Cricetulus griseus: one gene and its partner. The protein of the gene in region 2 interacts with the protein of the main gene of each other region in a pairwise test. Links are inferred from orthologs where the notes say so. Each region holds a gene or a part of one and is shown on either strand. Other genes may lie near its edges.

Region 1 (15,725 bases), on a different chromosome or scaffold from region 2:
GACAGATGCCATCGTGAGGAAAATGAGCCGAATGTTCTGTCAGGCTGCAAGAGGTAGGGAGGTCAATAACCTTCCTTTGCCTTTCTTCTTACAGACCCGAGTTGAGGTTGAGGGAAGTTTGGGTAGCTGGGATGGAGTAGACTACTGGTGGCTACTCTGAGGGTTCAAGCCAAGAGTTGTTTCTATGGTGGCCCAGCTGTTTTTGGTAGGTGAGGTGCACAAAAAGCGACAGGGGAAGGCTGGCAGGTGGTAGAATTAGGATGAATGTTAGAACCCATAGATCCGGAGCTTGGCCCCCAATATGGGCTGAGAGCTTAAAGAGTTGAATGGGATTGGAGGGGATTATAGAGATGAGCCTGTGAGGGATAAGGTGTTTTAGCTCTGCTATATTCATCTTTCCTCTTTCCAAGTCGATCTGACGCTGGACCCTGACACAGCTCACCCAGCCCTTATGCTGTCCCCTGATCGTCGTGGGGTCCGGCTGGCAGAACGTCGGCAGGAGGTTCCTGAACATTCCAAGCGCTTTTCAGCTGACTGCTGTGTACTAGGGGCCCAAGGCTTCCGTTCTGGCCGGCACTACTGGGAGGTAGAGGTGGGCGGGCGGCGGGGCTGGGCAGTGGGTGCTGCCCGTGAATCAACCCATCATAAAGAAAAAGTGAGCTCTGGGGGGTCCTCTGTTAGCAGTGGGGACGCCAGCTCCTCACGCCATCACCATCGCCGCCGCCGGCTCCACCTGCCTCAGCAGCTTCTGCTCCAGCGGGAAGTGTGGTGTGTGGGTACTCACGGCAAACGATACCAGGCACAGAGCTCAACAGAGCAGACACTGCTGAGCCCATGTGAGAAACCACGGCGATTTGGCGTGTACCTGGACTATGAGGCTGGGCGCCTAGGGTTCTATAATGCGGATACCCTAGCCCACGTCCACACCTTCTCAGCTGCCTTCCTTGGCGAGCGTGTCTTCCCATTCTTTCGGGTGCTTTCCAAGGGCACCCGCATCAAGCTCTGCCCTTGATCAGCCTGCCACCCGCAGGGGCCCCTCCAGTCACTGCTGGGGGGGCGGGTGGTGGTGGATGATTGCCCACTATGTTTGTGAGCTCAGGCTCCTCCCACTGTTTGTTACTGAGTTGCTTTCTGCTCCTCCTTGAACCCAGGCTGCTTCCCCCAATAGGAGCCTAAAACAACTTCTAGACTTCCTCCAGCTCAGTCTTCTCTCACCTACTTTGTCTGACAGGTCTGCATGGGTCCCTGATAATAAGAACAGCTGCCTGATCTTCCCTCCCTGTCTGCCTAGCTCAGTCCAGCTCTGAGTCCCAGTTTGAGTGCAGGGATGAGTGGAAGTTTTGTTCCTTAACTTCTCTTTTCCACATCTACTCTTCAGTCTTTGTCATTTCTGAGGCTGGAGGGTTCGGGCAAGACCTACCCATTCCAATTCCATGCTTTGGTGCAAGCTCCAGTTAAGGGATTTGGAAGCTTTTGTGGGGAGGCAGGCTGGGCAAAAGGGTAGAGCTGTGTAAAGTCTACTTTTCTTGGGGAAGTAGGAACTCTTAAAGCTTTCCTTCCGCCCCCAATTTCTACCTCCATAGACTGGCCAGAATTTAGCTTCAGTAAGATCTGGAATGGTCAACGTGACACTGCACACCATTATATCACCCAATAAATTATTTTCTCTCTGTCGTACAGTTTTTATTTAGGAGCCCAGCTCCTCACACCTAACCCCTCCAAGTCTTCACTGCCAGGCTCTTTTCCCCTCAGTGAATTTCAGTTTCTGGCCTCTCAGCACCTTGTAGTTCCATTTGGTAAGCCCTGTTAAGGAGCTTGGGACAGGGGTCTGGATCCTTGGGAGAGCCTTGGGTATAATCTATTTTTCTAGTAACCCCTTGCCTTCTGTCACCTAACAGCTTTTGTCCTCTGCTTGTGGCTGAGGTCAATTCATGTTCTTGGGGTAAAAGGTGGGTTGTGTTGCAGATAATAAAGTGTTTATTTGCTGCTGTTGTGGAGTCTTTCTTTTGAAGCAGCAATTTTGCTTCATGAAGTACTTTCCCATAGAAGCCCTGGAACTGCTTCTTAGCTGTCAGGAGCATACAATCAACCCTGAATTTCTGGTTCTTTATGCATTCCTAGGGTTTCCTGTTTCAGTGAGGAATGGGAGGTCCTTATTCATGTAGCTTACTTAGTAAGGACTAAATGTTATACGTAGATCCAAGTAGATGGGGCTAAATTCAAACTGGGCAGAGAAACCCTGCCTTGGAAAAAACTATTCTGCTGCTATTGCTAGAATGAAGTGCAACCAAGAAGGATAGATACACCATTGAGGAAGGCAAACATAGGTGGGCCTGAGTTTAGGACAGACAGTGCCATGTTGAATGTCCCAAAGTTTCCCATCACCCTAATATTCCCTGGCATAGACATGTATGCAAGCAAAACACAACAAATGGGAGAAGGGTGGGTAGGCGGGCAAGTTAGGAACTTGCTCACTAGACAAACCATAACTGAAAAGATTTCAGAAAGCCACTTTATTTCTAAGACTCTGTCATAAACTTTTAGCGGGTGCCAATAGTCACTTGCCACACTCGAACCAGGTTGTCTGTGTAACCGGCAAACAGAGTCTGTAAAAGAGAATGGCAACAGGGTCATGCCCAACAATGAATTGTATGGCCCCCAAACAAAGAACTTGTCTAAGACATGCTCAGCACACATTCCCAGAAGAAACAGCTTGCTATACTTTTGAAGCCTCTTCTAGAGGTCCAAATCATGAATCATTCCCCAGATAGATTATAGTATTTTCTGTAACTAGTCACCCTTTATCATTTCATTTGTTAATATAATAGTCTTTTTGTTTGTTTGTTTTTTTTCGAGACAGGGTTTCTCTATGGCTTTGGAGGCTGTCCTGGAACTAGCTCTGTAGACCAGGCTGGCCTTGAACTCACAGAGATCCTCCTGCCTCTGCCTCACGAGTGCTGGGATTAAAGGTGTGCGCCACCACTGCCCTGCTAATATATTAGTCTTATGCCCGTGATATGAAGAGTAAGCTGGAAGCTGAGTTGGCAGAATCAAGTACTTACCTGGCCATCAGCAGACCATGCCAGGGAGGTACACTGGGGTGGCTCTGCCTTGCTGCTGGTGCTGATAACTTCCTGCTTCAATTCATCTACAATGATCTTGCCCTCCAAATCCTGAAAACAAACCAAAATCAGGTAAGGATGCCCATAACAATTATGCAATGGACTTTTATGGTCTGTAGTATGTTGTCATACCATAGCTTTTTTTTTTTTAAATGGAGACCTTAAGATGGCAAATTAAAGGGCCTTTGCTTGACACCTAAAACAGTTTATTCCTCAAACTATGGAGGAGACAGAATTCCCTGGCTATGGGCCAGTTATCCTGTACCACAGACAGTAATGAACTACTTGGAAAGCCTATTTCTAATTCAGATTTCCAGATTATTTTTTCTTTCAAGGACATATGAAATATCAACCCCCACCCTAGCAACCCACAATCATTTAGAGGGCCAGTGGTTTAGTTATACAATTGGAGCTACTTGGAAGGCTGAGGCAGACTGCCAAGTTCTAGATCTGACCATGTAACTTAGTCAAGATGACTCCTCATAAATGTAAGGTCAGCCTGGGTTACACACTGTCCAAAACATAAAAATACCACATAGAATCCCCAGTCTTTTAGTTGATACTAGTGGCACATGTGGTAGGGATTTGATTTATGCCTCTCATGCATTAGCTAAGTGCTCTACTACCTGCTACACACTACTGGGATTATTTTTGCTTATCTTTCATGGTGTGTGGCTGTAACTGTTAATGGTCATCTAGTGAGTAGATACCACATATGCTGACAAAATAGCCTCTCAAAGGAGAATTACTTTGGCCCAAATGACTCAACAAATTGCCAAATATGGGCATTCCCTTTTATTAGTCAAATGTTGCCCAGTGCTGCTAAGTGTTAAGAAAAAATAATCCCAACTTGTCAACTGACAGCAGCTGAATGATGAATCTACCAATAAAGCTTGAAATCAATGTGGTGCACAACAGATCACTTACCCAAATCTTGATACTGGGGCCTGTGGCAGCACAGAGCCAGTAGCGGTTGGGGCTGAAGCACAAGGCATTGATGATGTCCCCACCATCTAGTGTGTAAAGGTGCTTGCCTTCATTGAGATCCCACAGCATAGCCTGGCCATCCTGGACGGACATAAATGGTGAGTTAGGATAGATAAAGCTAATGGTTGAAGTGTCAGCGTTCATGGTCCTAAGACCTTCCCTGTAATGTATAATACGTATATCAACTTACTTTTATTTATGTATACAGTGTGTTTTGCCTGTGTGTAGCCCTAATCCAGAAGAGGACACTAGATCTTATTAGATGGTCTTGAGCCACCATGTAGTTGTTAGGAATTGAACTCAGGACCTCTGGGAGAACAGTCAGTGCTCTTAATCCCAGAGCCATCTATTCAGCTACCAACTTAGTTTTAAAGGAAAATTTCTTTGGTATGCCTTTCTATATATTTTATGATAATCCTTAGAAACATTCCCACATTTTAAGCTCATCTTTTAACTGGTACATGCTATCAGATGAAAGTGTTCTCCATAAATAAAGATCAGAGGTCCCCTAAATACCTTGCCTCCAGAAGCACAGAGGGATCCATCTGGAGAGACTGTCACTGTGTTCAGATAGCCAGTGTGGCCAATGTGGTTGGTCTTCAGCTTGCAGTTAGCCAAGTTCCATACCTAGGGAAAAAGGTGAGTGACCAGGATTATGGCCACAAGAAAGAATAGCATCTTCCTTAAAGGTAACTCATAACAGGTTTTTATGCAAGCGCATGTAATCCCAATATTTGAGTGGCTGACACAGGCCTATCAGAGATACAGAGTGAGATCTGGCCTCAAAAACAAACTCAATCCCTAATGAACTTAGATAAAGCATCAAGAGCCAAAGCCAAGGTAATTTAATTTGCAAAACATTCCAAACCGGAGTGATTACCATCTCAGAGGAATGGGAACATTTTTAGATTTCTAATGGGGCCAGGCCATTGTTGAAGCTCACCTTGACCAGCTTGTCCCATCCACAGGAGACGATGATAGGGTTGCTACTGTTCGGGGAGAAGCGGACACAAGACACCCATTCTGAATGACTCTCATCCTACAGAAGATGCAAGGTAAGTAAGAGGACTACAGATAACTACCCTAAGTGGGGCAACAGCACTCTCTGGCAAACCTATACTTCTGGATCAACAGAACAGTTGGTAAAGTCATTTGTCAAGCCTGCTGATTCATATTTGAGTCCTAGGATGCCTCCTCATGGAGCACAGTGCCAGGCACAGCTCAGAAACAGCCTCTGGATTTCAGCACTGCACCTCAGATGGCATGTTGGAGTCATCACTGCTCTGCCTGGCTTGTAGCCCCCAAGTACTTAAACATACTTCCAGGAGGTAGGTAGAGATTTTAAAACCCCCTAACCCTTAGGGAAGTTATGGGACACATCTGGGTATTTGCTCATGTGTAAGGGCCTGCCCAATAGATGCCTTGGCCTAGGGTTCCATGCCCCAACTCAGAAGAAAAATCAACTCCCAAGTCCCAAGCCACTCATGAGCAAGAATGCATTAAATATATAGTAAAAACCAACCAAATCCCAGACAAATGCCACACATTACAAAAGAGCTAGATGGTGGCACACAGCTTTGATCCCAGCATGCAATAAGCAGACCAAAGTTCTAGTCTAAGCAGGGTTACATAGTAATGAACCATCTCAAAACTGCAACAAAATCCCCAAGGGCTGGGAGATAACCTCTAACTTGTAGCCTTTACCTCCATCACTTTACCTGGACAGTGTATTTGCAGACACCGAGAGTATTCCATAACTTTATGGTCTTGTCTCGAGATCCAGACACAATCTGCCGGTTGTCGGAGGAGAAGGCTACACTCAGTACATCCTTAGTATGGCCTACAAATCGTCTCGTGGTGGTGCCCCTAAATGGGAGAACCTGGTCACTTTCTAGACAAATCTTATCCTTTTAGTCAGACCCTTTTCTTGGCTACATTGCTGCTCCAGTAGGCTCTATCACTCCACACAGCTTATATGTGGCTTTGTTCTATTATTAGCCCATTCTTGGTATGTGCCAGAGAACCCATTCAGAATTGCAGGACATGTCCTCATTCCCTTGTGGGGATTGGTTGACAATGTCTTCTTGTCATCACTAGGATCCTCTATTACACCTGCCAAATGCTCATCTAGGACAGCTTTCAAGATGAAACACTTATTTTAACAGCTGGCGGTACCCGGTAAAAACGCTCCAACTACACGACAGCCCTCTAGCTCCCTCCTCAAAGAGGTCAACACCAACATCTTACCCCACCCTCCATAAAAAAACCAATTTCCGAGGGAGACCACACCCTCGGGAATCTACCTCAATTTTGCCCAGCTCTCCCCCAAGGTCCCAAAGCAGCTACTTGCGTTGTGAGATCCCAGAGGCGCAGTGTTCCATCCCAGGAGCCTGAGAGGGCAAACTGGCCATCAGAGGAGATAACGACATCACTGACAAAATGGGAGTGACCTCGAAGCGCACGCTGTGGTATGCCATAGTTGGTCTCGTCCCTGGTTAGCTTCCACATGATGATGGTCTTGTCTGAAAAGGTTGGGGAAGAAATTACATAGGCACCCACACCTATATACTGGGCATAATTTACAGTGCTTTACGGTTACTGGTGTAATAACAAGGGGAGCATCACTACATTCAGTGAGAGGAACTGAAAAGATGTAAGGCACACCCGAGACTATGGGGTACCACACTTGCTGGGATTGAAACTCAAATCCAACCCAAGATTAATTTGTGTTGAATGTTTCCCCTCCATGTGTGCCCATGTTGTTTTTAGAAGAGGGTGTCAGATTCCCTGTAACTACCTACAATTGCAAGTCACCATGTGGGTTCTGGGAAACAAACCTTACCTAGTCCCCTTGAGGAGCCAGTTTTATCTATCATCACTCCAGCACAAGGCTAACTCAAAAGTAGCAAAGTCACTTGGGTGTGGGATAAGCAGACCACCTTTTGTGCCTTTAAGGGTTGACTAGAAATGCAGTAGCTATGGTAGAATAAGACAGTCCTAGCCATGCACCATGTCAAACCATACAGAAACGAATAAAGTGCCTGATAAGCTTCACACGAGAATGAACATAAATTTGGGCAGATAGGGAGACCTGGGTGGGCAAATCATGATAAAGATAAGTCATGAGGAAAAATAAAAAGCCTTAGTTTACGCACTGCTCAGAGCTCAGGGCCAGACGGCAGCTCAGAAACAGCCTCTGGATTTCAGCAAAGTAGCTCAGATGGCATGTTGGGGTCATCATTGCTCCGCCTGGCTTGTAGCTCCCTAACTACTTAAATATATCTCGAGAAGACAGACGAAGAGATTTAGTCACCTAATCTTATGGGAGTTATGCGACACCTCTCGGTTTCCGTCCATGTGCAAAGGGTCGCCCTAGTTGGGGCCCAGGTTCGGGTCTGCACGCCCCAACTCATAACTGGGTGGGGGAATGGACCAAGCCAGCCAACCCACGCGCCACCTGCGAAGCCAGGAGACGCGCAGTCCCCGGGAAACGCGCTATTTCGCCCGGCATGCAGCCCGTACCTCGAGACGCAGACAGAATCATGTCTGGGAACTGCGGGGTGGTGGCGATCTGTGTTACCCAGCCGTTATGGCCTTTGAGGGTCCCACGAAGGGTCATCTGCTCCGTCATGGCTGCAGCTGATACGAGTGTCGCCGCAGCGACAAGGATGGCACCGGATAGCTCAGAGAGCCAAGCACCACAGCGGCAGCCACAGCGACGCCGCGGAGAAAAAGAAAGAGCGGCCTCCGGCGGAACCGGAAATACCCGGAGAGCAAGGCGGGGGTTCCCATGATTCCCTGCTGCTCAAAGATGGCGTCACCAGGTAGTGGGAGGGGCTGGGCGCGGTAAGTCGCAATGTCGCCGTTTCTTCTGCCACGGAACATAATTTGGCGACTGCTGAACAAATGCGTTCTTAAGTAAGCTTTACTGGGTTTTAATAAAGGCTCCTCGGCAGATTAGTACGTGTTCAGGAAGGAAAAGTAAGACGACCGGCTCATCGCCATACTGCAGCGGCTCCTCCCTCCCCGGCTACGTGGCAGAGACGGCGCCCCGCCCTTTTCGCTTGGTGTTCCGGTTCCTGGGTTGGCGACTCCGATTTAAGCTATGACCTAAGGAAGTATATTTGAAGTTGCAATTAAAGGCGTGTGCCGTCCAATCTGGCCCTTTTGTTTTAAGGGATTTTTATTGGAATCCCTTTCTGTGACTCTGACCATTCCACAGAAAAGCCTGCTAGTTTGTCTTGTGTAGCCCTGAAAGAAGTGGCTGGACAGGGAAGCGGAGGAACACTGATAATTTGGTAACCTGATGACCTTAATCTCAACACTTAAGTTTGCAGTGGCCCTCCGATGTCACAGATCTCTCCTTAAATTTTACAACTTTTTTTTTTCGTTTGTTTGGTTTTTTTGGGGGGGAATTGGGTTTCGAGACAGGGTTTCTCTGTGGCTTTGGAGCCTATCCTGGAACTCACTCTGTAGACCAGGCTGGTCTCGAATTCCAAGAGATCCGCCTGCCTCTGCCTCCCTAGTGCTGGGATTAAAGGCGTGCGCCACCAACGCCCAGCCCGCCTATTTTTTTTTTAATTTTTAAATTTATTTATCCATATAGTGTTCTGCCTGCATATGTTCCTGCACGCCAGAAGAGAGCAAATCTCGTTATGGATGGTAGTGAGCCACCTTGTGGTTGCTGGGAATTGAACTCTGGACCTCTTGAAGAACAACAGCCAGTGCTTTCAACCTCTTAGCCATCTCTCCAGTTTAAATATTTTTAAAAAGGACCACCAGTTAGGATGGTAGCAACCACTAACATCTATGAACTAAAGGTCACATTTATTTATTTTAGTTCTGTTGCTGAACTGCTGTTTTAGGCTTTAGGATACAGCTATGAACAGAAGAAAGAAAGAAAAAGCCAGATGGCCATTTTGTTTGCAATAATTTACATCTTGTGGTAGAGTAAGGCAATGTGGTTAAGAGTGAAGTAGGGAGCTGGGTGGTGGTGGCGCATGTCTTTAATCCCAGCACTCGGGAGGCAGAGGCAGGCGGATCTCAATGAGTTTGAGGCCAGCCTATCCTACAGAGTGATTTCCTGGGCAGCTAAGAATGTTACACAGAGAAACCCTGTCTCCAAAAACCAAAAATAAAAAAAGTGAAGTTTGGAGTAAAGACATAGGCAGATGCGAAAGCAATCTCCTGTGATCATGTTCTATTGCAAAGGTTCTTGACTGGTATATGAGGGCTGAACAGTGAGAGTTGGCACAGAACCTGCTAGATTAGGGTAAGCGCTGAGCAAGGTACATTGAAGGCATTTGGAAAGGAACATGTTAGGCGAGTATAGTGGCAAGGCTGCTGCACCCTGTGGTTGCCCAGCTGTGCAAAGACTAGGGCTTCTCACTTAAGGCCACTTGCTTTCTGGGCCTCTTGCAGGCCCCCGCCCCCCCCCCCCCCCCCCCCCCCCCCCCCCCCCCCCCCCCCCCCCCCGCTCCTTCCCGACTCTCTGGACTACACAGGGTGCTGTCCTAGATGTGTTCCTTTACAGCCTGATGAGTGTCTTTTTAGGACCCTAAGGTTATATATCACCTGTGTCCTTGGTAAACCCAACTGAATGACTTTCATTTTCTATTGTTTTGTTTCTGTGGTGGTCCTGGAAGTCACCTGTCCTTACTCACCCCATAATCAGTTTGCTGCCCTTTAGGTGGGTCATGCTAGCACCTTTCTGTGTCTCTGTACTGCTTTTCGTAAATAGAAAGGTGAATCACTACACCCACATTCTAGCTTCCTTTCGATGAACTGACATTTATTTCCCTTTGGAAAAAAAAGTCATTCTCTTTTTCCTCTGGTCTTGGGGATTGAATCTAGACTGTCTTGCTAGACAAGCATGCTGCCAGTGAGCTACATCTCATACTCCTTCCTTCCTTCCTTCCTTCCTTCCTTCCTCCCTCTCCTCCCTCCCTCCCTCCCTCCCTCCCTCCCTCTCTCTCTCTCTCTCTCTCTCTCTCTCTCCCTCTCCCTTCCTTTCTTTCTTTTTTCTTTCCTTTTCAAGACAGGGTTTCTTAGGGGGCTGGAGAGATGGCTCAAGGGTTAAGAGCACTGTCTGCTCTTCCAGAGGTCCTGAGTTCAATTCACAGCAATCACATAGTAGCTTACAACTATCTTTAATGAGATCTGGTACCCTCTTCTTGTGTGCAGATATACATGGAAGCAGAAAGTTGTATACATAATAAATAAATAAAATCTTAAAAAAAAAGCGGGGGGGGGATATTTAAAAAATAAAGATCAGGTTTCTCTGCGTAACAGTCCTGGCTATCCTGGAACTCATTTTGTACAACAGGCTGGCCTCGAACTCACTGAAATCTGCCTGCCTCTGCCTCCCCAGTGCTGGGATTAAAGGTGTGGGCCACCAATGCCTGGCCCAGACCCTTTGCTTCCTTTCTTTTTTTCCTCTTCCTCCCTTACCGCCCTCTTTTCCTCTCTTCATCCCCTTCCCAAGATAGGGTGTCACTGTGCAGCTCTCTGGCTGACCTTTACCATCCTACTACTAAAATCAGAGGCCTGCTCCACCAAGCCCTGTTACCTGTTTTTTTTCTTGATCTCTCCCTAGGACGTCCAAAAGAATCAGCATTTCTGAGCTAGCCTGGAAGTCTAAGTTTAAAATGAATGCTTCCCAGACCTTCCTGGGATGCCTGAGATGGATGGGACTGCTGCAGATCCTTTTCCCAGGAACTGGAGGTTGGGGGCGGGGTGTGTGTGGGGCAGCCTTGCCCACAGAGACTCTGCCTTTCACAGAGTCCCTGCCTACCACTACCTTGCTCTATCTCTGCCACCCTCAGGTACCACCTTCTTTCCTAGGATTGTGAGACCCGGACTGAGACTTGTGACCTGAAGCTGCTTTCATCCTCCTTTGCTTGTTAGACCCCTACAGGGAGAATTTAAAAGTTGTTTTGGACCTCAGCTTGGCTAAGATGGTGATGCCAACCATAAAACAGGGAGAAAAGTAATGTGGTAGACCCCATGCACAACCGGACTCTGAAGGACTAGGGTTTCCTTTGCTAGTCTTCCTTTAGTTCCTTCACAGGAACCAAAGAGGATATGTGCAGGCCATTATGGCCTCTGGGGGACAATAGAACCTAGAGGGTCAGTGCCTTGTAATAGTGGGCATTTCTTGAAGTGTAGCTTGGGGTATGGGCCTAGCTGGCAGAGGAGCTGCCTTGCCTGCTCCTCACCCACTGGAGTTGAGCATCCCTTCATCACTTGTTTTCTGAAGCTCCCTTGTGGCATCATCAAATGCTCCTGTTTACTTCTGGGGGAAGGATCAGTACATTTGACTCTTGGTCTGCAAAGGTTCTCAGCTCCTGCTCTCAGAGCCACCCCTCAGCCACGGGACGCTTGAGTATCAGCCACACTCCTAAAATAAGTTGGCAAATCTTGGGAATGAGTGACTTCTGGCTCCTTTCTTACTCCCTTGTCATTCCTCTAGTCTTGTAGAGATGAGAAGAGTATTGGACACCCCCAACCCCCCACCCCCCATCCCCCAATTTGGCCTTTGGGAAAAGATTCCGGGTTGGCCCATACCAGGTTGGCAGAACCCTATTGATTGAGAAATAAAAGGAGCTTGGGATAAAGATAACCTTTATTAGAAAAACACCAGCCAAACGCAAGCCAGAGCGTGCCAAGGGCAGCAAGGCAGGCAGGCCAGAGAGAAGGGGTTCCCATCTGCCTTAAAACTCATCATCCTGACCTCACCTTGACCACGCCCTGACAGGCGTGGTCAAGCACACCTGTAGCCAGCTTCTAGCAGGCGTGGCTTACACTGTCCCCTACAGAACCTTTCCTGGCTGTGCCCACTGTTCTTTTCCTGAAGTTCAGCTGTGTGTCACTACACAGCTTCAGTGCTATGCCTTCTCTCATGTCCTCATGAACTGCTTCCATTCCTAAGGGAATTATCCCTTAGGAAACTGGAAAGGCTTCTGAGAAAGTTGGTCTCTGTTTTGTAGAAGCCCTCAGGACCCACCTAGTATACAGAGAGCTAGCTTTTTAAGCTGTGTGTAGCTCTGTGACCTTAGGTTCTACCCACTCTTGCCAGCATTCAGTACTCTGGAGGTGGGGTCTCTTTGTAGATAAACATGTGTGTGGTGAGAATCAGTCAGCCTTCTCTGGGCTCTAGGCAATGCAAATTCATGGTGACTGGTTTTGTCAGGCCCTTGTGTGGTCTCATGGGTCTTCTTCTGCTTCTCCTACTCTTCATTTTCTTCCACACAAGTCTTTATACATTACTTTTCTGCCTAGCAGGCCCTCCATAGCCTCCCCTCCCCTCTCATAACTAAAACTAAACTTCCTTGGATCTCAGCTGAGGTTGCTGGGAAGTGCTCCGTGACCCTCAAGTCAAGGTCAGGTCCTTTGGTGCTCTCATAGCCATAAAGAACGTCCCTTTTGAGTGTCCTGGATAGGGCTGGTCCGTTTCTGCCCACGTTTTATATTTCAGCACCATATTGAGGACTTGGACTGTAGAAGCTTCTAATCTTCGTGGTCTGCCTCACAGACTTACTTTTAAATGGCAAAAGAAGGGTGTTCGAGATAAGGGATCATTATGTAGAGTCTTGGCTTTGAGAATTTAGACAGAAATTCAGAAAATCAGAATTTTGTTCTGATAATAGTTTGTCTGTCTCTCAGTCAGTCTGGTCTCTCTCTCTCTCTTGTTTTTGTTTTTTCAAGACAGGATTTCTGTGTTCCCTGGCTGTCCTGGAACTCACTGTATAGACCAGGCTGGCCTCAAAACTCACAGAGATCCACCTGCCTTTGCCTCTGAGTGCTAGGATTAAAGACATATGCCACCACCTAGTCTCTTTAGGTTAAGAGCAAAGAGACTCTGGACTTGTGATTCTTCATAAAATCTAAACAAAACCGTTGCCCTATTGCAGCTTTCTTTTATTTCTTAGTTCCAAGATCTCGTTTTTTTTTTTAATTTTAAGATTTTATTTATTATGTATACAACATGCTGCTTCCATGTATATCTGCACACCAGAAGAGGGCACCAGATCTCATAATGGATGGTTGTGTATGTGGTTGCTGGGAATTGAACTCAGGACCTGTGGAAGACCAGTCAGTGCTCTTAGCATCTGAGCCATCTCTCCAGCCCCCAAGATCTTGATTTTGTACCTGCTTTGTCTGTGATGGCCCTTGTTTTCTCAGCTGGACATGACATAACTGCTCTAACATTTAAAAACTATTGAGGGGATCCTGCTGCCTCCACTCTGAGACCTGGAGAATTGGGGCAATATATCCATCAATACACAGATGCCATGGATACCGTTAGTAGGGTTCTGACTAGACCAGGTTGTCCTTCCACTGAGCATTGCTGAACACCAATGCATGTTCTGGCTATGGGGCCTCAGTCTACACTACTAAGTCTACAGGGCTTGCATTTACACTAGTGGTTCTCAATTGGATATTCAAACAATTTTTTTTTTAATGTGATGGGTGTTGTGATGTCTATGTAATGTGTATGCAATGCCCAAAGAGACCAGAAGAGGGTGTGGGATCCCCTTGGAACTGGTGGTACAGAGGGTTGTGAGCAGTCATGTGGGTGCTGGGAATAGAACCTGGTTGGGTTTTTTGTTTTTTTGTTTTTTTTTTTTTTTGGTTTTGTTTTTTTGTGTTTTGTTTTGTTTTGTTTTGGAGACAGTGTTTCTCTGTGGCTTTGGAGGCTGTCCTGGAACTAGATCTTGTAGACCAGGCTGGTCTCGAACTCACAGAGATCTGCCTGCCTCTGCCTCCCGAGTGCTGTTATTAAAGGCATGTGCCACCACCTCCCGGCCTGTTTTTTTTTTTGTTTGTTTGTTTGTTTTGTTTTTTCCTTTCCTTTTCTTTTTTTTTTGAAGAGCAGCCAGTGCTCTTAACTGCTAATCCAACTATCTAGGTCTATGGGGATGATTTTTGAGTTTTCCCACAGGTGACATTTTGCAGTTTCTGGAGTCATTTGATGCTGTTATAACTGGTGGAGGGGGCAAGTGTTACCCTGTTAACTGGAATCTTGAGACATTCAGTATCTGACAACACACAGAACAGCTCCTCAACCCCAAAGAATTATCTTGTTCAAAGTATCAATTCTGAGCTTGAGAATCTTTAATCTAGTTCAAGTGTGGACCAGCTCTTCATGCCTGTGGTGTCCAGGCTCAGTCACATAAGATATAATGCTAGCAAGTGTCTAATAAGTTGGGAAGGGAACAATACAGAATGAATGGGCTCTATGAAGCTGCAGAGTGACTCTTACTGTGGTGTGTTTCAATATACTAGAAGCCTTGGAGCTAAGGAGTTGAGGATTTTAGATACTAGGAAATCTGTGTGAAGATGGGGTCCGTGGTGCAGCCACAGTAGAGAGGAGCAAGCTGAAACAGTTTGGCAGGCTACCCTAGGGGAGCCTTCAACACATTCTGAAGCCCTTTCTCTATATTTCTGGGCTTGAGCTAAACTATTAAGTTGCAGAGAACAAGGGCATTCTGCACAACATTTTTTTTTTTTTGGCTTTTCCAGACAGGGTTTCTCTGTGTAGCTTTGGAGCCTATCCTGGCACTCGCTCTGGAGACCAGGCTGGCCTCAAACTCACAGAGATCCGCCTGCCTCTGCCTCCCGAGTGCTGGGATTAAAGGCGTGTGCCACCAACGCCCAGCTCTGCACAACATTTTCTACACACCTGACACACACAATAGACAGCAAGCATTTCCAACATGTATATTGAGTAAAGAATACAAGTGAAACTTGGGAGGTGGCAACAACAGGACTACGATATAAAGGTTTTCTCTAGATACATATTGAGATCAAGGAGCCTGAGTAAGAAATAACACACACACACACCTACTCATGGTTGAAGAGATGGCTCAGTGATGAAGAGCACATGCTGCTCTTGCAGAAGACCCCAGTTCAGTTCTTAGCACCTTTGTCTGGTGGCTCGCCTTCTGTAACTACAGCTCCAAGAGGACCCACACACACAAGATATACATTCACATAGATACAGACGAATACACATAAAGGGCTAGACACTTATAAGAAGAGCACTGACTGTTCTTCCAGAGGACCCAGTTCAGTTTGCAACAACGACATGTCAGGTAACAACTGTAACCCCAAGATCTGAAACCCTCACATAACTTACATGCTGGCAAAACACTAATGAAAATTAAAAAAAAAATAGGAAAAAGCTGGGTAGTGGTGGCACACACCTCTCAGCACTCAGGAGGCAGAGGCAAGCAGATCTCTGAGTTCAAGGCCAGTTCTACAGAGCAAGTTCCAGGACAGCCAAGGCCACACACACACACACACACACACACACACACACACACACACACACACACTCCATCTAAAAAAAAAAAAAACAACAAAAAACTGGATGGTGGTGGTACACACCTTTAATCCCATCACTCTGGAGGCAGAAGCAGGGGGTTCTCTGAGTTCGAGGCCAATCTGGTCTACAGAGCAAGTTCCAGGACAGGCTCCAAAGCAATACAGAGAAACCCTGTCTTGAACCCCCGCTAAAAAAAAAAAAAAAAAAAAAAGTAAAATAAAAAGAGAAAAAACTCAAAAGAAAGAAATTCACCTGAGTATGATGATATATGTCTTTAATCTCAGCAC
Region 2 (15,625 bases):
GACGCGACTGCTTGCGCGGGGCGGGGCGGGGCGGGGCGGGGCCGGGCTGGGCCGTGGCGCTGGCAGCTGTAAGATTTCAGCGCGACTCCAGCCCGTAGCCCCGCCGCCGCCGCCGCGCCGCCATGAGCACCAAGCAGGTCACCTGCAGGTAAGTGCGCGACGTCGCGGGGCCCTGGGCGCTGCCGGGGGCTCGGAGGGAGGTGCGGGGTCGCGCCGAGCCGCGGCGGGCTGTGTACAGCGGCGATAACACGCAGGGGCCCGAAGGCCGCGGGGGGCTGGAGCGGCGAGAGCAGCTGCAGCGGCGGCTTGCAGAGGGCGAGCGAGGCGGGATTGCGGGAACCCCGGCTGGTCGCATTCCTCATCCGGAGCGGAAACCCAGACCGCCGAGAGAGGCTAAAGCGAGACCCCTTTAGGAGCAGAAAGACGGCAGTAGTGGCTGGCTTGTTAGGCGAAATGGAGAACCAGAAAGCTGCCCTGTGACTGCTATTTTGAAGTAAAAAATAGTAGTTGGGTTGAATAGCAACGTCGAAACTCGGTTACTGGGGTTTAGTCCTGTGGATTTGCATGCTTGGGAAGTGCAGCTTGTGAGCATCCCGAATGTAAAAATCCAAATTTCGAAATGCTTCAGAATCCCAAACTTTTTGAGTTGCCGGCATGGTGCGACGAGTGGAAATTTCACAGCATGAAATTTTGTTATATTGAAATACAAAGTTATCTCGGAGATATTGTACAATTTTTTTTCAGGATATGTATATAAGCGTATATGAAGTGATGAGTTCTGTGTTTACACTTTTGTGCCATCCCCAAAACATGTACATGAAAATACTCTAAAGTACAAAACATTCAAGACACTCCCCAGACCAAGCATTTTGGATAGAAGAGCCTCAGCTTATACAAGTTTCAGTTGGTTTTTGTAAATTAAGAAACAGATGTAGTTTGGTTATGTGATAAGCATTTCATCTAATACCTTGTTGCTTCTCATTAGGGCGGGTACCTGATGCCTTTATGAAGAGTTCGTTTCGAATTCGATATAAGGGTTGAGCCAAGTACCCAGGGCCCAGGTGGCTTATGTTAAGTAGTTACCAGAAAAATTGCAGTTAGTGTCTGTGTGTTTTGTGTTTACTTGACACAAGTCAGAGTCATTTGGGAAGAGGGAACCTCAATTGAGAAAATGCTCCTATCATACTAGCCTGTGGTTCATTTTTCTTTTCTTTTTTTTTTTTTTTTTTTTTTTTTCAAGGCAAGGTTTCTCTGTGGCTTTGGAGGCTGTCCTGGAACTAGCTCTTGTAGACCAGGCTGGTCTCGAACTCACAGAGATCCTCCTGCCTCTGCCTCCCGAGTGCTGGGATTAAAGGCGTGTGCCACCAACAAACCCCCGGCTCATTTTCTTGATTGATGTGGGACGGCCAAGCTCCCTGTGGGTGGTGCCGCCTCTGGATTAGTGGTCCTACCTCTGGATTAGTGGTCCTGGGTGTTGTAAGAAAGGCTGAGCAAGGCGGGGCTGTGGTGTTGTGTGATGCTGTGTTGGCTGTACCTGACAAGACATCTTAATAAAGGAAGGGTTTATCCAAGATGAAGAGGGAGTCGTTGATAGGAGCTTGAGAGAGTTGATCACATCACACCTAGAGAGCAATGACGGTTGGTGCTCAGCTCACTTTTTCCTTTTTATTCAGTGTTGACTCCAGTCTAAGGAATGATACTACCATGTTCATGATGGGTCTTCCCACCTCAGTTGACTTAATCTACAAAATCCCTCACTGACATGGCCAGGGACTTGTCTCTTTAGGCATTGCAATCAGTGGCAACTATCACAGTCCTGATCTATCAGCTGGTCATCTTCCTCAGTGAGACAACCTCAGGACTGTCAGGGTTTCCCTAAGCTTAGCTTCAGAGTGGCACAAGTCTATTGCTAACATTGATTCTCATGACTTATGCCCACCACTACCCCGCTAAACTGTGAGTCTTAATTTCACGTATGTGGAGATCACAAAACACTTTTAAAAATACTGTGTCTGGAAGGGTGCAAGTGAGCCTGGGTGCGTGCATGCATGTGTGAATGCCATGCAGTGGTTTATGTGTGAAAGTCAAAGTACAGCCTACAAGGATGGGTCCTGCCGTGGTGGCAAGAGGAGATGGAATTCAGGCCCAGCAAGCATTTTCCCTCTGAGCCGTCTCACTGGCCCAGTGAAAGGTTTCTGAACATGCATGACGATAACTCAGAGTCAAAATGTGATGGATCCAAGGTGTTTCTTCTGTGCCACAGAGCTTGCTGCTCCTTGATGCTAAGCACAGGGTACACCAGGCGCTGTGCATGCCTTCATGCTACCCACTGCTCCAGTCAGTTCAGATTCTAGACTGTTATATTTTATGAGTTGCAGGGTGTGTGTGTGTCTGTCTGTCTGTCTGTCTGCCTTGCAGAGACATAGTGATTTAATTATGGAAAACAAAGTCTTTTCATATTTCCCTATCCATACCTCAGCAAGCATACAAGTACCAAATTAGCGTATCTTTGGATTGTGTTAAGTAGATTTTATTTCAAAAATTGCCATGTTTCATAAATTATTAGCTGAGTTTTGGTTTGGCATTAGCACAGGACTCCCAACAATGTCTGAAATGGCCCTATACACAACTTGGCTGTTGTGTACCACATATTTATGAGAAGCAGTGTTCTCAGTCCTGACGACTTTAAAAACCTAACATTAAATAACCTTCATTCTATAGTATCTAATACCACAGGGAGCTGGGAATCAGCTCACTGTCTTGCAAGCTTGTACTCGAGTTCTATCCTGAAAGCTCATGTGAAAATGCCGGGTATGGTGGCATGTTTGCTATCCCAGTGCTGGGGAGTCAGACACCCGTTTATAACCATGAGGATCTGAGTACCCACTGGCCAGCAAGTCTGGCCTACCTGGTGAGCTCCAGGCAAGTGAGAGATGCCTGTTTCAAAGGCAGTGGAGGTTCCTGAGAATGCTTTGGGTTATCGTTGTCCCAGCTCAAGTGAGAGTACACATGTGCACACAATAAATAAGTAAATGTCAAGAGGACACCTGATGTTGACCTCCAGCTACCACCTAGCAAGCTTCTCATGTCCATGCATCCACACACAAAGAGATGCTGCCATGGTGTGCTATCAGGCAATCCTGAATCTTAGACTGCAAATTACTTTGTGTTTGGAAAGAGTTGGAGAAGCAGCTTTGTAAAGAGAGACAACTGAAGCCCTGCAGGAACCCTGACTGACTCTCTTGAGGTTGGCCTTGGCTACATGGATGATTAGGACAGGCTGGGGTCTGTAGTGAACCATGTTTACATTGCCTGAAAGTCTTCGGAGTGACCCTCAGAAGGAACCTCCCCATTCTGAGGGTTAACCCCTCACTTCATCGTCCCCTCCAGTCCATACCTAACCCTCTTTTAGGGGGCTGGTCAACAGTTTCAGCTGCTGAGATGCCCAGGTTAAGCTCAGATGAGCGTGACCCAGAGAACAGGCAGGGTGTGCTCAGGTTGTATCTGTTACTGGTGACAGCACATAGAGAAGGCTGGGCTGGCTTCACTTCTGACATAGACTCCACTCACTAGCTTTCCTGGAAGCAGTGATTGTCACTTGTGAGTCTGCTTACAGTTCACCTCAGTTACTTGGAGCAGTGAAATGACTTGCATGGACTACAGCAGATAAGGGTCCGAATTAGCTGGAAGTTGTGGTTAATTGTATTGTTATTTTTATAAGATTTTATTTATTTATTTATTATGTATACAACATTCTGCTTCCATGTATATCTGCACACCAGAAGAGGGTACCAGGTCTCATAACGGATGGTTGTGAGCCACCATGTGGTTGCTGGGAATTGAACTCAGGACCTCTGGAAGAGCAGTCAGTGCCATCTCTCCAGCCCCTAATTGTATTGTTATTATTACTGTTATTATTGTATTGTTATTGTTACTGTGCATGTATATGTATATGATGCATATGATGTGCATGATTGGCACGTGTGTGTGTCATGGCTAATGTGTAGACGTCAGAGGACAGCTTTGTGGGGTCAGTTCCCTTCTTCTACCTTTACATGGTGTCCTGTTTTGCTTTCTGTTGCTGTGATAAACACCAAGACCAAAACCAAACTGGAGTGGAAAGGGTTTATTTGGCCTACACTTCCACATTACAATTCATCACTGAGGGAAGTCGGCAGGAACCTGGAGGCAAGAACTGATGCAGAGGTCTTGGAGGATGCTGCTTACTGGCTTGGTACCCATGACTTACTTGCTCAGCATGCTTCCTTATCTAGCTCCGGTCCACCTGCACAAAGTTGGCATCACCCACAGTGGGTTGGGCATTTCTACATAAATCATCAATCAAGAAAATACCTTACAAACATACTTACACGTCTATCTGATGGGAGCTATTCCTGATTGGTGTTCCAGCTTCCCAGATTACTTTAGGTTATGTCAATTGATAATGACTAACCAGCACAGGTGGACTCAGGAACTTAACACTGCAGTCGGGAAGGCTGGTTGCCCAGTGGCTTGGGAAGGTAGCAGTCAGATGAAAAAAACTCATGTGACATTGCACTGTAGCCAGTCCGCTATCAACTGTCCGGTGGAACAGGAGACCCTTGGTCATCGTCTGCTTAAGGTAATCTCTGGTCTTTTTTTCCAGAAGACTATCAAGTGTTCCTTAGCTCCCCAGGCTTATAGTTGTTTGGAGACAGGCTCTGACTGTCTTGTGGAGCTCACCATGTAGACAAGGCTGGCCTTGAACTCAAGGAGATCTACCTTCTCCCTCCCAAGTGCTGGGATAAAGGCGTGTGCCATCATACCTGGCCTTGTGTTTTTGTAGCCATTGTAAGCTTTCCCGCCACCATGTGTTGGAGCTTACCAGTCCTCATCTTCATTTCAGGCTTTTGGGTACCAGGTTGTTTTTGTGCCTTCAGAGTCCCAATTTATTGATTGGATGATTACAATATATTAGTCATTTTGTCTTGTTTTGTTTTCTTGAGACTGAGTCTCCTTTCTATGACCCAAGCTACTTGCAGTCCCCACCTCAGCCTGAGTGCTGGGTTACAGGTGTGTCCTGCTTCACTGCAGTCTTGGTGGCATCTCTCAAAGGCTCACCAAACTTGGTGTGATGGTATGCCTGTACTTTCAGCCACTTGATCTGAGGCAGGGAAGTTATTAGAATCACTTAAGTTCAGGGTCACCTGAGGCAATATATATAAAAACTTGGTCTCAGAAAATAAGAAGAAGTACCCAACAAGAAGATATATGGGATATCTTCTTGTCTGGGGGAGTCCCAGGATTAACCACCCTCACACCTGGAGACTGGCTAGAGTCATGGTGTTCAGCATATAGCTAGACTCTAGACCGAGGCTGTTACACTGGCTTAGCAAGATACACAGCCAGGTAGAGAGAGCAGGAGTTCAGAGGGCTGCTTCTACCCCTGTAGAAGCACTTTTCCTCCCCAGAGGTACCAGGTAGGGGTGCAGGGGGGCAGTGCAGCTTCTGCCTGTGACTCACCTTCCAGTCCCAAGAGGAAGTGGGCTTTGTGTGAATCACACCATGGTACAGTTGAGGCACAGTGGGAAACTGTCAGTGTAGGGACTGTGACTATACCAGCAGCTTTAGAAGCCAAAGGCTGTTCCTAGGCCAGCTCAGAGGTTATCAGTCTCAGAGCTGCTGTGGTGACTGACTCCTTTCCATGGCCTTACTTGCTCTCTCTGCCCCATCCCTGCCTGCTAAGAATGGAGTCCAGGGCCTCTGAATGGCACCCCATGAGCTTCGTCTTCAGTCCTCCATTCTTTCCCTTCCTTTTCTTTCATTTTCTTTTCTTTTCCAGTCAGCCTTCTAGCAAGTTACCGAACAGTGTCTGACTTGGGAGGTGTTTCCTGGGAAATCTGGGTAGCTTCCTAGAAAGTCCAGAGCCATGGCAGCTTTCAATTTCTGATCGTGAGATTGCTGTCCCTTTCATCAGATGGGGGGTAGGGGTAAGTGGGCCTGGCTAACTCTCGAGCTTTCTCCATAAGCTGGAATAAGGATTTTCAGCAGCCTGCCAGCCCCGCCACGAATTGGGCACTGTTCTCTGGTTCAGTGGAATGTGAACAGGCTCTACCCTAAAGTCCACTTCCACAGGGTTCTTTACCAAAAGGGAGGGGTGCAGGCCAGTAGCAACACAGCTGGCTGTAGTTCAGGATCAAATCTGCTGGTCCACTTTGGCTGATGAGGGAAATTTCTTGTGTGTGTATTTTCCTTTTTTCTACAAAGTGTTGTATGTAGCCAGTCTGTCATTTAGCTGTGGCAGTTCTCCTCTTCAGCATCTCAAGTGCTTGGCTTATGTGTTCTTAAGTAAATTTTAACATTTCTTTTCCAATAAAGCTGTTACAGAAACTTATTTCTGAGCCTTTTGTAAAGGATGTTTTACTTTCTTCGGGCCCCCTTCTCCCTGTGCTGTGCACATCTGAAGGCTGCTGGCCCCAGTAGGGGATGTTCTGGGGTCTCCAGAAAGCCTGGCCTGAGCAGCATGTCTCTCAGCTTCCTGGGCACCTACCTCATTTTAAGCATACTAGCAGTGTTACAGCTGACACCAAGGTCACCTGGGGAGAACTGGTAGCATGGTTCCCAGTCTGGGCTCCCAGCAGGCCTGCCAACACCTCACCACCATGCCCTTTCTTTTTGGTCCATTTCTCTCACAAAGTATGATCTTCTAGTCTCTGCTGACATGAGCTTGGGAACACTGGGGGGGGTGGGGAGGGGCCCGCTAGCTAGCGGCCTGTGTCTCCTGTCTCTGCTTTCCCAGCACTACTCAGACTGCACTTGGAAGGTTATGTCAGTGGGCCTTGGCCCTGTCCTTTATAGACCTTAATAAGAGCTGCACTCTGGGGAGCCTGAATAAAACCAAACTGAGCAGTTTACACTGCACCCGGGCGTTTACAGGCAGCATCAGCCTTTTGTTACTACAAAGGCAGTTACACAATGTGTTCACAGCAAAAGCATTGGAAAGTGCAGGTGCTGAAGTAAGGGAAATGCCACATGATGGCCTAGATTCCACCAGCCTGCTATAGGCATCACCAGCTTTTAAAGTTCTTGTCCCTTTATCCCCACCTACCTGCCACCCTCCTTTTTAACCCTTCGGTGAGTCCCCTTTATTCTAGACAGTTCAGTGCTTCCATGGATCTTAGTCTTAGCACACTAGTTTATGTTTATAATATTTTTAAACAAAATGAGATCCTGTATATGGCAACTTTTTTTTAAAGAATATTGTGTGTCCTGATTGGTTTGGTTGTTTGTTTTGGTCTCTTGTTTTTGTCAACTTAACAGAAGCTAGAGTTACATAGGAAGAGGGGTCTTGAGAATGCCTCCATCAGATTGGTCTGTGGGCAAGCCTGTTGTTGCTTCTTCTTGATTAGTAACTGATATGGAAGGGACAGTTCAGCTCACTATGGGCAGCACCACCCCTGGGCAGTAAAAGAAAGCAAGCTGAGCAAGCCAGTCAGCAGCATTCATGCCTTGAGTTTCTGTCCTGCTTTTCTTCAGTGATGGACTCTGGCCTGAGAAATAAATAAATAAATAAATAAATAAATAAATAAATAAATAATAAAGCTGGAATAAACTTTCTTCCTCATATTGCTTTGGTCATGGTGTCCATCATAAGGGAAGAAACCTTAAAAACATTGTGAGGAAGTGAATCTGATAGCATAGGCTTTGCCAGGGTGCCTGTGTCACACACAGTTCTGTGGTCCTGGTACATTCACAGTTGTGTGAGCAATCTCCTGAGCTCTCACTGTGAGAAAGAATACTGTGCTGTTCCTGTCTCCCCCTTAACTGCCAACAGTCCTCTGCTTCTGCTGTGGTGAATTTAACGTTCAAAATACCTCTGTTGTGATGACTTCTTTCGATTAGCACAATGTCCTTAAGGCTCATTCATGTAGTTTTGAGTTGGATATGTTTTCCTTTTTCAGGCTGAATAATACTCCATTATATGTACATACCACTTTTGTGGGTTTTGTTCATGAATTATTAACTCTTTGTTTTTGGGTGTTGTTTGTTTGCTTTTTACATTTTTTAAATTTTTTTAGCTGTGGAGCCTGTCCTGAAATTCTGTAAACCAGGCTGAGCCTGGAACCCACAGAGATCTGCCTGCCTCTGTCTCCCAACTGCTAGGATTAAAGGCGTGTGCCACCACCACCTGGCTCAGATTTGTCATGTAGCTAAGAATGACCTTGATTTTCTGATCCTGGCTCTCTGAGTGCAGGGCCTATAGACATATACCACCGCACCTGGTTTACTCTGTGCTGGGAATGGAAGTCGTGGCTTAACACATACTAGGCAAGCACCTTACCAGCAGAGCAAAATCCACAGCCTCCTGAGGGTGCTAGGATTTCAGGCTGCTGCCACCGTGCCCAGCGCCCCTTATGTCATGGATGCCACACTGTCTTCTTTGGGGCTCATTGCATTAGCCTCATGAAACAGTAGGTGGTGTCATCTCTACACTTAAAGTTGCAGCAGCAAGCATAGGGAAAAGGAGTTTTTCCCTGCCATTTAGTCATCTCTTTTAGCAGCTGCAGGAGAATGGGGAGAGTGGGTTTTCCTAATTATGAAACTCTTTTCTTACATATTTAACACAAATCAAGAGCTGATCCATATAGAAGGGTTTACTTGCATGTATGTCTGTCCACCACATGAATGCAGTGATCAAAGAGGCCACAGGAGGGGGCATCAGATTCCCTGAGACTGGAGTTTCATTTGGTTGTTAGCTGAAGTATGGGTGCTAGGAACAGAGGCTGGGTCCTCTACAAAAGCACCAAGTGCTCATAACCACTGAACCATTTCTTAGCCCCAACATAGAAACTTTTGAGATCTTTTTCTTCCAAAAAGCTAGTCTTAGGTTATTGTGATGAAGTTTAGAATCAAGGAAGAAGATGCAGTATGGGTGGGGCTGTGTGTGTAGTGCTGAGAGGGCTGCACCCGCGCCCCCCCCCCCCCGTGTGACTCAGCTATTCTATGCTTGTCTCCTCAGATATTTTATGCATGGCGTGTGTCGCGAAGGCAGCCAGTGCCTGTTCTCACATGACCTGGCAAACAGCAAGCCATCCACCATCTGCAAATACTACCAGAAGGGGTACTGTGCCTACGGTGCGCGCTGCAGGTAAGGGTGCCTCCATCCCCAGTGGTAGGAATACAGGTGTATGCCATATACCTGCCTGAGCATGGGTCTTGATGAGGGAGATTTTCAACTTAGAGTTGTACTTAGAGTATTAATGATTTGTGACTTGCTTTTAAACCCCATATAACACATCCTAGACTTCCCCTGCCATCAACCCATCCCCATCTCCTCATCATGTGTGGGGTGTAGGGGGTGTGGGGGGGGTGTGGGTGTGAGGTGTGTGTGTGTGGGTGGGTGTGTGGGGGGGTGGGGAAGTGTGTGTGGGGTGTGTGGGTATGGGGTGTGGGTGTGTGGTATGGGGTGTGGGTGTGTGGGGTAGGGGGGTGTGTGGGGTGTATAGGGTGTGTGGGGGTGGGGTGTGTATGGGGGTGGGGTGTGTCAAGTGGGGTGGGGAGGTGGGTGTGGGAGGTGTTTGTGTGTGGTATGTAGGTGTGGGGGTGTGTGTATGGTGTGTGTGTGTCATAAGGTGGTATGCCATTTATTTTAAAGCTATTTCCAGTTCATGCTTGAGTGACTTCTGGCGGGGAGGCTAATGGCATTCATGCACACACAGCCTTGTTGCTCCAGACTGGACAACAGTGTGAGCCACTCCCTGCTTTGGAGAGCAGAGCCCATCTAGTCCTTGCTGTCTGGCAGAGCTTGAGAGTTTGAGTTAGCCATGTGCTTTTCCTCAGCCCACCTACTCACCTAGAGATTCCTACCCAAAGGGCCAGGACACTTGGTGGCATAGTGGAACACTTAGGTGTGGGTAAAGGTGATGGTGGGTATAGGTTACATGACCCCAATAGCCTTTTCTAGTTGGGAGTATAGAGACAGGCCCTTGCCCACCTCAGTCCAGCTGTTGGTCACTGGGAGGGCAGGTAGTGTGTAGGGGTGTGTGTGCAGGTGTTGGGGCCTGCGTGACCATAATACATTGTTTTGTTTTGTTCAGATATGATCATATAAAGCCCCCAGCTGCAGCAGGTGGAGCGGTAGGCCCTGCACCCCACTCTTTGCCATCCTCAGGCTTGCCCAGCCCTCAACCTTCTCCTGACATTGCCACATCTGTTGTGAAGACACATTTGCATGAACCGGGGAAGCGAGAGAAGAAGATGCTGGTGCTAAGAGACCGAAGTGAGTGACTGCAGCCTCCGCTGCCGCTGAGGAAGCAGCCTGCGGGCTTAGTGTTGCTTTCAGGCCTGCTCGCCAGGAAGCTCCTGACACCCCGGGAGCCCAGAGTTGATCTGAAAACAGGCTGCAGAGGTTCAGGGGATGCATGTCCACAGCTGGGCTGAGCTCCATTTTGAGTCCAGCAAAGCATCAGCGTGGTCTTTTGTCACCCTGAAGTTGCCTCTTATAAGGTCACCCACTGATTTTGAGGCCCCAGACTACTCATTCTGAAGCTGGGTGGGGTTTTTTGTTGTTGTTGTTGTTTTGTTTTGCTTTGTTATTGGGTTTTTTGTTTTTTGTTTTTGTTTTGTTTTTTTTTTTGAGACGGTTTCTCTATGTAACAGTCCTGACTGTCCTGGAACACACTCTGTAGACCAGGTTGGCCTGATACTCACAGAGATCCGCCTGCCTCTGCCTCCCAAGTTCTGGGATTAAAGGCGTGCGCCACCACCTACCTCCTGGCTGGGTGTTTTAATGGAGGGGGCAGGTCACATTCTCCTTGTTTGGTGCCATGTCCTGGTAGTGGCTGCTTTGGGGATCTGAGGAGCATCTTCAGACACAGGACAAGGAAGAGGTCTGGGCTGAGGCCAGGTTTGTGAGAAAGAAGTTAGCAAATGCTGTTGTGCTGCTGGACCTTGGGAAGATTTCCTGGCTCTTGGGGTTGTTCCCCTTGGGATTTCATGTCTTGGGTGGTTTTAGTATTAAATGGTCTATATATTGACATCTTTGTGTACTGTATAAAAAGACCTCATTCTCTTCTGTTGTTCTGCAGCTGCACTTGACCTCCTGGGCCATCTCCCAGCCTCTGCTCTGTTGTTCTCTGCCTGCTTTTCTCTAGCTATTCCTAATCTGGGCTAGTAGCTGACGTGAAAGATGAGCCTGTTCTCATGTCTGTTGCATTTGTGTGTATTTTGTGTTGAGATCTCACTGGCCTGGCTGAAGACAAGAGTGTCCCAAGCACAGTGAATAACCCGGGTAGCTGCAGTGATGCTCAGACCAGTCCGGAGATGAAGCCCCATTCCTACCTAGATGCCATCAGGACTGGCCTGGACGACTTGGAGGCCAGCAGCTCCTATAGCAGCAACGAGCAGCAATTATGCCCCTACGCTGCTGCTGGGGAGTGCCGGTTTGGAGATGCCTGTGTCTACCTGCATGGGGACATGTGTGAGATCTGCAGGCTTCAAGTCCTGCACCCCTTTGACCCAGAACAAAGGAAAGCTCATGAGAAGGTAACTTAAGCCTTGGCATGCACTCATTTTAAGAAACCTAAATGTACCACAGACAGAGTCTGGAGTCTCTTTCTTGTATGTCTATGAATGCCTATGTCTTGTACCTGGTATATTTTTACTCTATTTTCAAGTTCTTTTCCTGTTGCCATTTTATCAGTTTGTTTGTTTGTTTGTTTTTCTGTTTGATTCTTTTTTTGTTTAAATTAGAAACAATCTTACATATCAATCCCAGTTCCCTCTCCCTCCCCTGCCTCTCCCCCACTCCCATTTTATTAGTTTTTGATTATTTAGATCAAAGAAGAATAAGAAATACTAGAAATGCAAAGTTCAGACCTGGGAAGATGGCTCCCCAATTAAGACTACTTGCTGCTCTCACAGAGGACCAGCGTTTACTTCCTAGCACCTCCTTTAGGTAGCTCTATGCAACCTCCTATAACTCCAGCTCCAGGGGGTCTGACATCCTCTTCTTACTTCCACAAGAACCTCATGCATGTAAACACACACACACACACACACACACACACACACACTCACACTAGTAATCAAGCTTTAAGAACTGCAAAGTAGTGCTGGAGAGGTGGCTCAGTGATTAGGAGCACTGGTTGCTCTTCAAGAGGTCCCTGGTTCAATTCCCAGCACCCACATAGCAGCTCACAACTGTCTGTAACTCCAGTTCCAGGGGATCCAACACTCCTACACAGACATATGCAGGCAAAACAACAATGCACATAAAATAAAAATAAATAAATTGGGGACTGGAGAGATTGCTCAGCAGTTAAGAGCAGTGGCTGCTCTTCCAGAGGTTCTGAGGTCAATTCCCAGTAGCCACATGGTGGCTCACAACCATCTGGTGTGATCTGGTGCTCTCTTCTGGCCTGCAGGCATACATGCATGCAGAACACTATACATAATAAATAAATCTTTAAAAATAAATTTTTAAAAATATTAAATCATTTTTTAAAAAGAAACTTCAATGCATTCATTTCACAAAACATTGAGTAGATTCTTTGAGAAAACTAATGAGTAAAAGAAATGCAAAGTAAAGTAAACAGCCCCAACTCAGGCTCACCTGCAGCTGTGCCCACCTCTGTACCAGTGCATGCTCAGACTCTGGCACATCTTCTCTCCCCGGGGTTACACAGCTTGGGGTGGGATCCAGGCAGCCAATGTTTTGGAAACTTTGAAAAACCTTTATTATGAACTTCTCTTTGAATTTTATGTGTGTGCTTGCAGTGTGTGTGTATGAGCACACACGTATGAGTGCCTGTAGAGATGAGAGAAGTGTAGACTCCTCAAGCTGGAGTTATAGGCAGTTGTAAGCTGCCTGATGAGGGTACTGGGACCCAAATGCAAGTCCTTTGGAAGAGCAACAAGAGCTCTTAACTGTCTAGTTCCTTTTATCACGGACTCTTGGGAGCCAGTTGTTGAAAGGTCATGAATGTCCCTGTGTCTGCAGCCTCATTCCAGGCTGCCCTCATTCCAGGGTTATGAAGATGGGTTAGAAAAGGGAAGAAGCTCAGGGTTACAGTGTTAAGAGGCCAGGTCACCTCCTCTAAGGACTTGGTAATTATGTGGGATAAAATGGTCATGGCCTCTCCTGTGTCCAGGAGGACTGCTAATGCACATACTAGCAGACAGCATTCCTGGCAGTCCAGACACCATGGGGCAGTGGGGTAGCAAGATGTGGAACTCAGGTTTGGTCTGCTCTTTATCCACGTGCACAGAGCACTGTTGTGTGCAGCTCAGAGCAGGGGCCTGGGTCTTCTCATCTGCCTTCATTCACTTGGACTCACTTAGCTCAGTCACAGTTCTTGGCATTTCTGTATTGATGTGGCGTGGAATAGGCATGGCATCCAAAAGAACCAGAGACCTATGACCCAGTACTCATAAATGCTGCAACTCCCACAGTGATCTAAGTGCCCTAGAACTCCATGGCTGTTAAGCTGGTAGTGACCATAGCCTACTAGGGAACCTAGGACAAGGACAAGGTGGTTTGAGGTCTACTTTTTGGTCAGATCTTATGTCCTGAATTCAGGGATTGTAGGTACTGTTCTTAACAGCTATTGTGACTATGTGACTGAGCAATCCCTGGGGTCTTCCCTCCTGTCATCCTCAGATGTGTATGTCAACATTTGAACATGAGATGGAAAAGGCATTTGCCTTCCAAGCAAGCCAGGACAAAGTGTGCAGCATCTGTATGGAGGTGATCTTGGAGAAGGCATCTGCATCTGAGAGGAGGTTTGGCATTCTCTCCAGCTGTAGCCACACCTACTGCCTGTCCTGCATCCGCCAATGGAGATGCGCCAAGCAGTTTGAAAACCCGATCATAAAGTAAGTGCAGCTGGGCTTCTCTGCGGGCATGGGGGCTGCTGCCTCCTGAGCTCGGACCCCCAGCTGTGTGAGTTTGCACAAGTCATCCTTCCTGAGCCTACCTGCCTATGGCAGCCTCTCCCATCTCTCCATGTTGGGGACTTTACAGAACTGTCCGTTGTTGCTGGCTAGGTTCTGTCTTGCAGACCTTGTGAACTCGGGACAGTCATTGTGTCTGCCTTATGCTAGCTGCCTTTTTTAACCTTAATAAGGGAATTGATTCTCCCTTGATATATGGCTCCCTCCTGTGCACTTTGCTGCCTGGGGCATGTTGTTGTTGAACTTCCCTGTGTGCAGCAGCTTCACCCAGAGAGACAGAGTTCTGCAGTGTCCAGTGCTCTTCAGAGTTAGTTGCTCAGCTGACATGCAGTCTAGTTTTAGAAACTTCATCATCCCCCAAGCCTGTGCAGCCACCTGCCCATTCCTGTTGTCCTCTGTTAGGCAGCCTTCAACCTAGGTTCTTTCTCTACACATGCCTTACTGCTGGTCATTGTGTATAGCCTTTGCCTTAGCAAATGTTCTGAGGAGCATGCTGTATGGGTGAAGAGTGCTCTGGCTGAGAACAGCTTGTAACCTGCTCACCCGCTAGTGGGCATTCACACAAATCTAGACCCCAGGAGTGTCACAGCAGTTTGGCCTCCAGCTGAAGCTGTCTCCTCCTCTTACCTGCAGATAAGATTCCAGTTCCTTCACATCCTCCCCAACACTTGCCTTTATTTCTAATCTCAGCTGTCCCGGGAGTAAAGTGTATTTTATGTCATCTTGCCTGCCGTAGTCACTGAAGATAATGAGCATCGTTTTGTATGCTTACTTGCTGTCCTGGATGAATGGTCAGGTCTCTGTCTCTTACTGAGTTGAACCTTTTCAGCAGCACAAGCTGCTCTTAGAGAATGTGATTGTGTCTCTGGCCATGCATTTGAGCAAGGGGTTTCAGAGTGGAATGTGCAAAGGATTCATGATATATTTTCTCCCTTACAAACCTGATTTGTTTGTTTGTTCTTCAGGTCTTGTCCAGAGTGTCGTGTGATATCAGAGTTTGTAATTCCAAGTGTGTACTGGGTAGAAGATCAGAATAAAAAGAATGAATTGATTGAAGCTTTCAAACAGGGGATGGGGTAAGTGCCTTGATTTCAGAGGGGACTCTGGTGCCTGCCTGGCTGGGTGTGGTTTGAGCCTGTGTCATATGGACCTGGTGGATGGATCTGAGAGCTTCTTGCTCCTGTCAGGCACTTTGCTGGGCTCCGGGCTGCAGAGCTGAGCGAAGCCTTTTTGAGTTCTAAGATGAACCCTGGAAACTGGTGCTGAGGTTGTGAATGCTTGTCATGACACTTAACACATTCTGTCACCTAGTCTAGCCTCAACCTTCTGCCTCAGCCACCCTAGTGTTAGGATTACAGGCATGTACAACCAAACCTAGCATCTTTTTAAAAGAAATAGTTTTCTAGGAGTTTCTCACAGAATATTCCTATTGCCTTATTTCTGTCCCTTGTCATCCTATCATTGGTACTATGAGTAATATGTGTTATATTTATTACAAAACCCACAAGGCAACACCTGCTTGTGTTACCCAACAAGTACTACCATCAAAGGCTTACACCACCATGCCTGGCCAAAATTCACTTTTTTTCTTAAGTTTTATTGTTTATTTGTTTGTTTTTTTCCCCCTGTTGTTTTGGAAGTTTTTATATTTATCTAGTTACTGTAGCTTAATATTTACCCATTTTACCTTCTT

Evidence for each region.
Region 1: the proteins of Mkrn2 (region 2) and Rack1 interact in binary tests that used the Homo sapiens proteins (3 or more experiments, as listed by UniProt). The two-hybrid records come from large-scale screens. The link is inferred for Cricetulus griseus from reciprocal best matches to the Homo sapiens genes MKRN2 and RACK1.

Annotation. Positions count from the first base shown.
Region 1 is NC_048600.1:63,450,689-63,466,413, reverse strand, and holds Rack1 (receptor of activated protein C kinase 1), read right to left. Parts: upstream 7,863-15,725; 5' UTR 7,741-7,862; coding exon 7,632-7,740; intron 7,357-7,631; exon of another isoform or gene 7,289-7,356; intron 6,632-7,288; coding exon 6,460-6,631; intron 6,211-6,459; exon of another isoform or gene 6,131-6,210; intron 5,976-6,130; coding exon 5,828-5,975; intron 5,395-5,827; exon of another isoform or gene 5,327-5,394; intron 5,149-5,326; coding exon 5,053-5,148; intron 4,737-5,052; coding exon 4,626-4,736; intron 4,191-4,625; coding exon 4,050-4,190; intron 3,174-4,049; coding exon 3,063-3,173; intron 2,607-3,062; coding exon 2,541-2,606; 3' UTR 2,495-2,540; downstream 1-2,494. Other genes in the region: E3 ubiquitin-protein ligase TRIM41, read left to right, coding at 1-53, 411-1,012. UniProt on the Homo sapiens protein: Scaffolding protein involved in the recruitment, assembly and/or regulation of a variety of signaling molecules. Interacts with a wide variety of proteins and plays a role in many cellular processes.
Region 2 is NC_048601.1:29,228,725-29,244,349, reverse strand, and holds the start of Mkrn2 (probable E3 ubiquitin-protein ligase makorin-2), read left to right. Parts: upstream 1-10; 5' UTR 11-122; coding exon 123-148; intron 149-8,998; coding exon 8,999-9,127; intron 9,128-10,076; coding exon 10,077-10,258; intron 10,259-11,215; coding exon 11,216-11,523; intron 11,524-13,639; coding exon 13,640-13,854; intron 13,855-14,897; coding exon 14,898-15,008; intron 15,009-15,625. UniProt on the Homo sapiens protein: E3 ubiquitin ligase catalyzing the covalent attachment of ubiquitin moieties onto substrate proteins.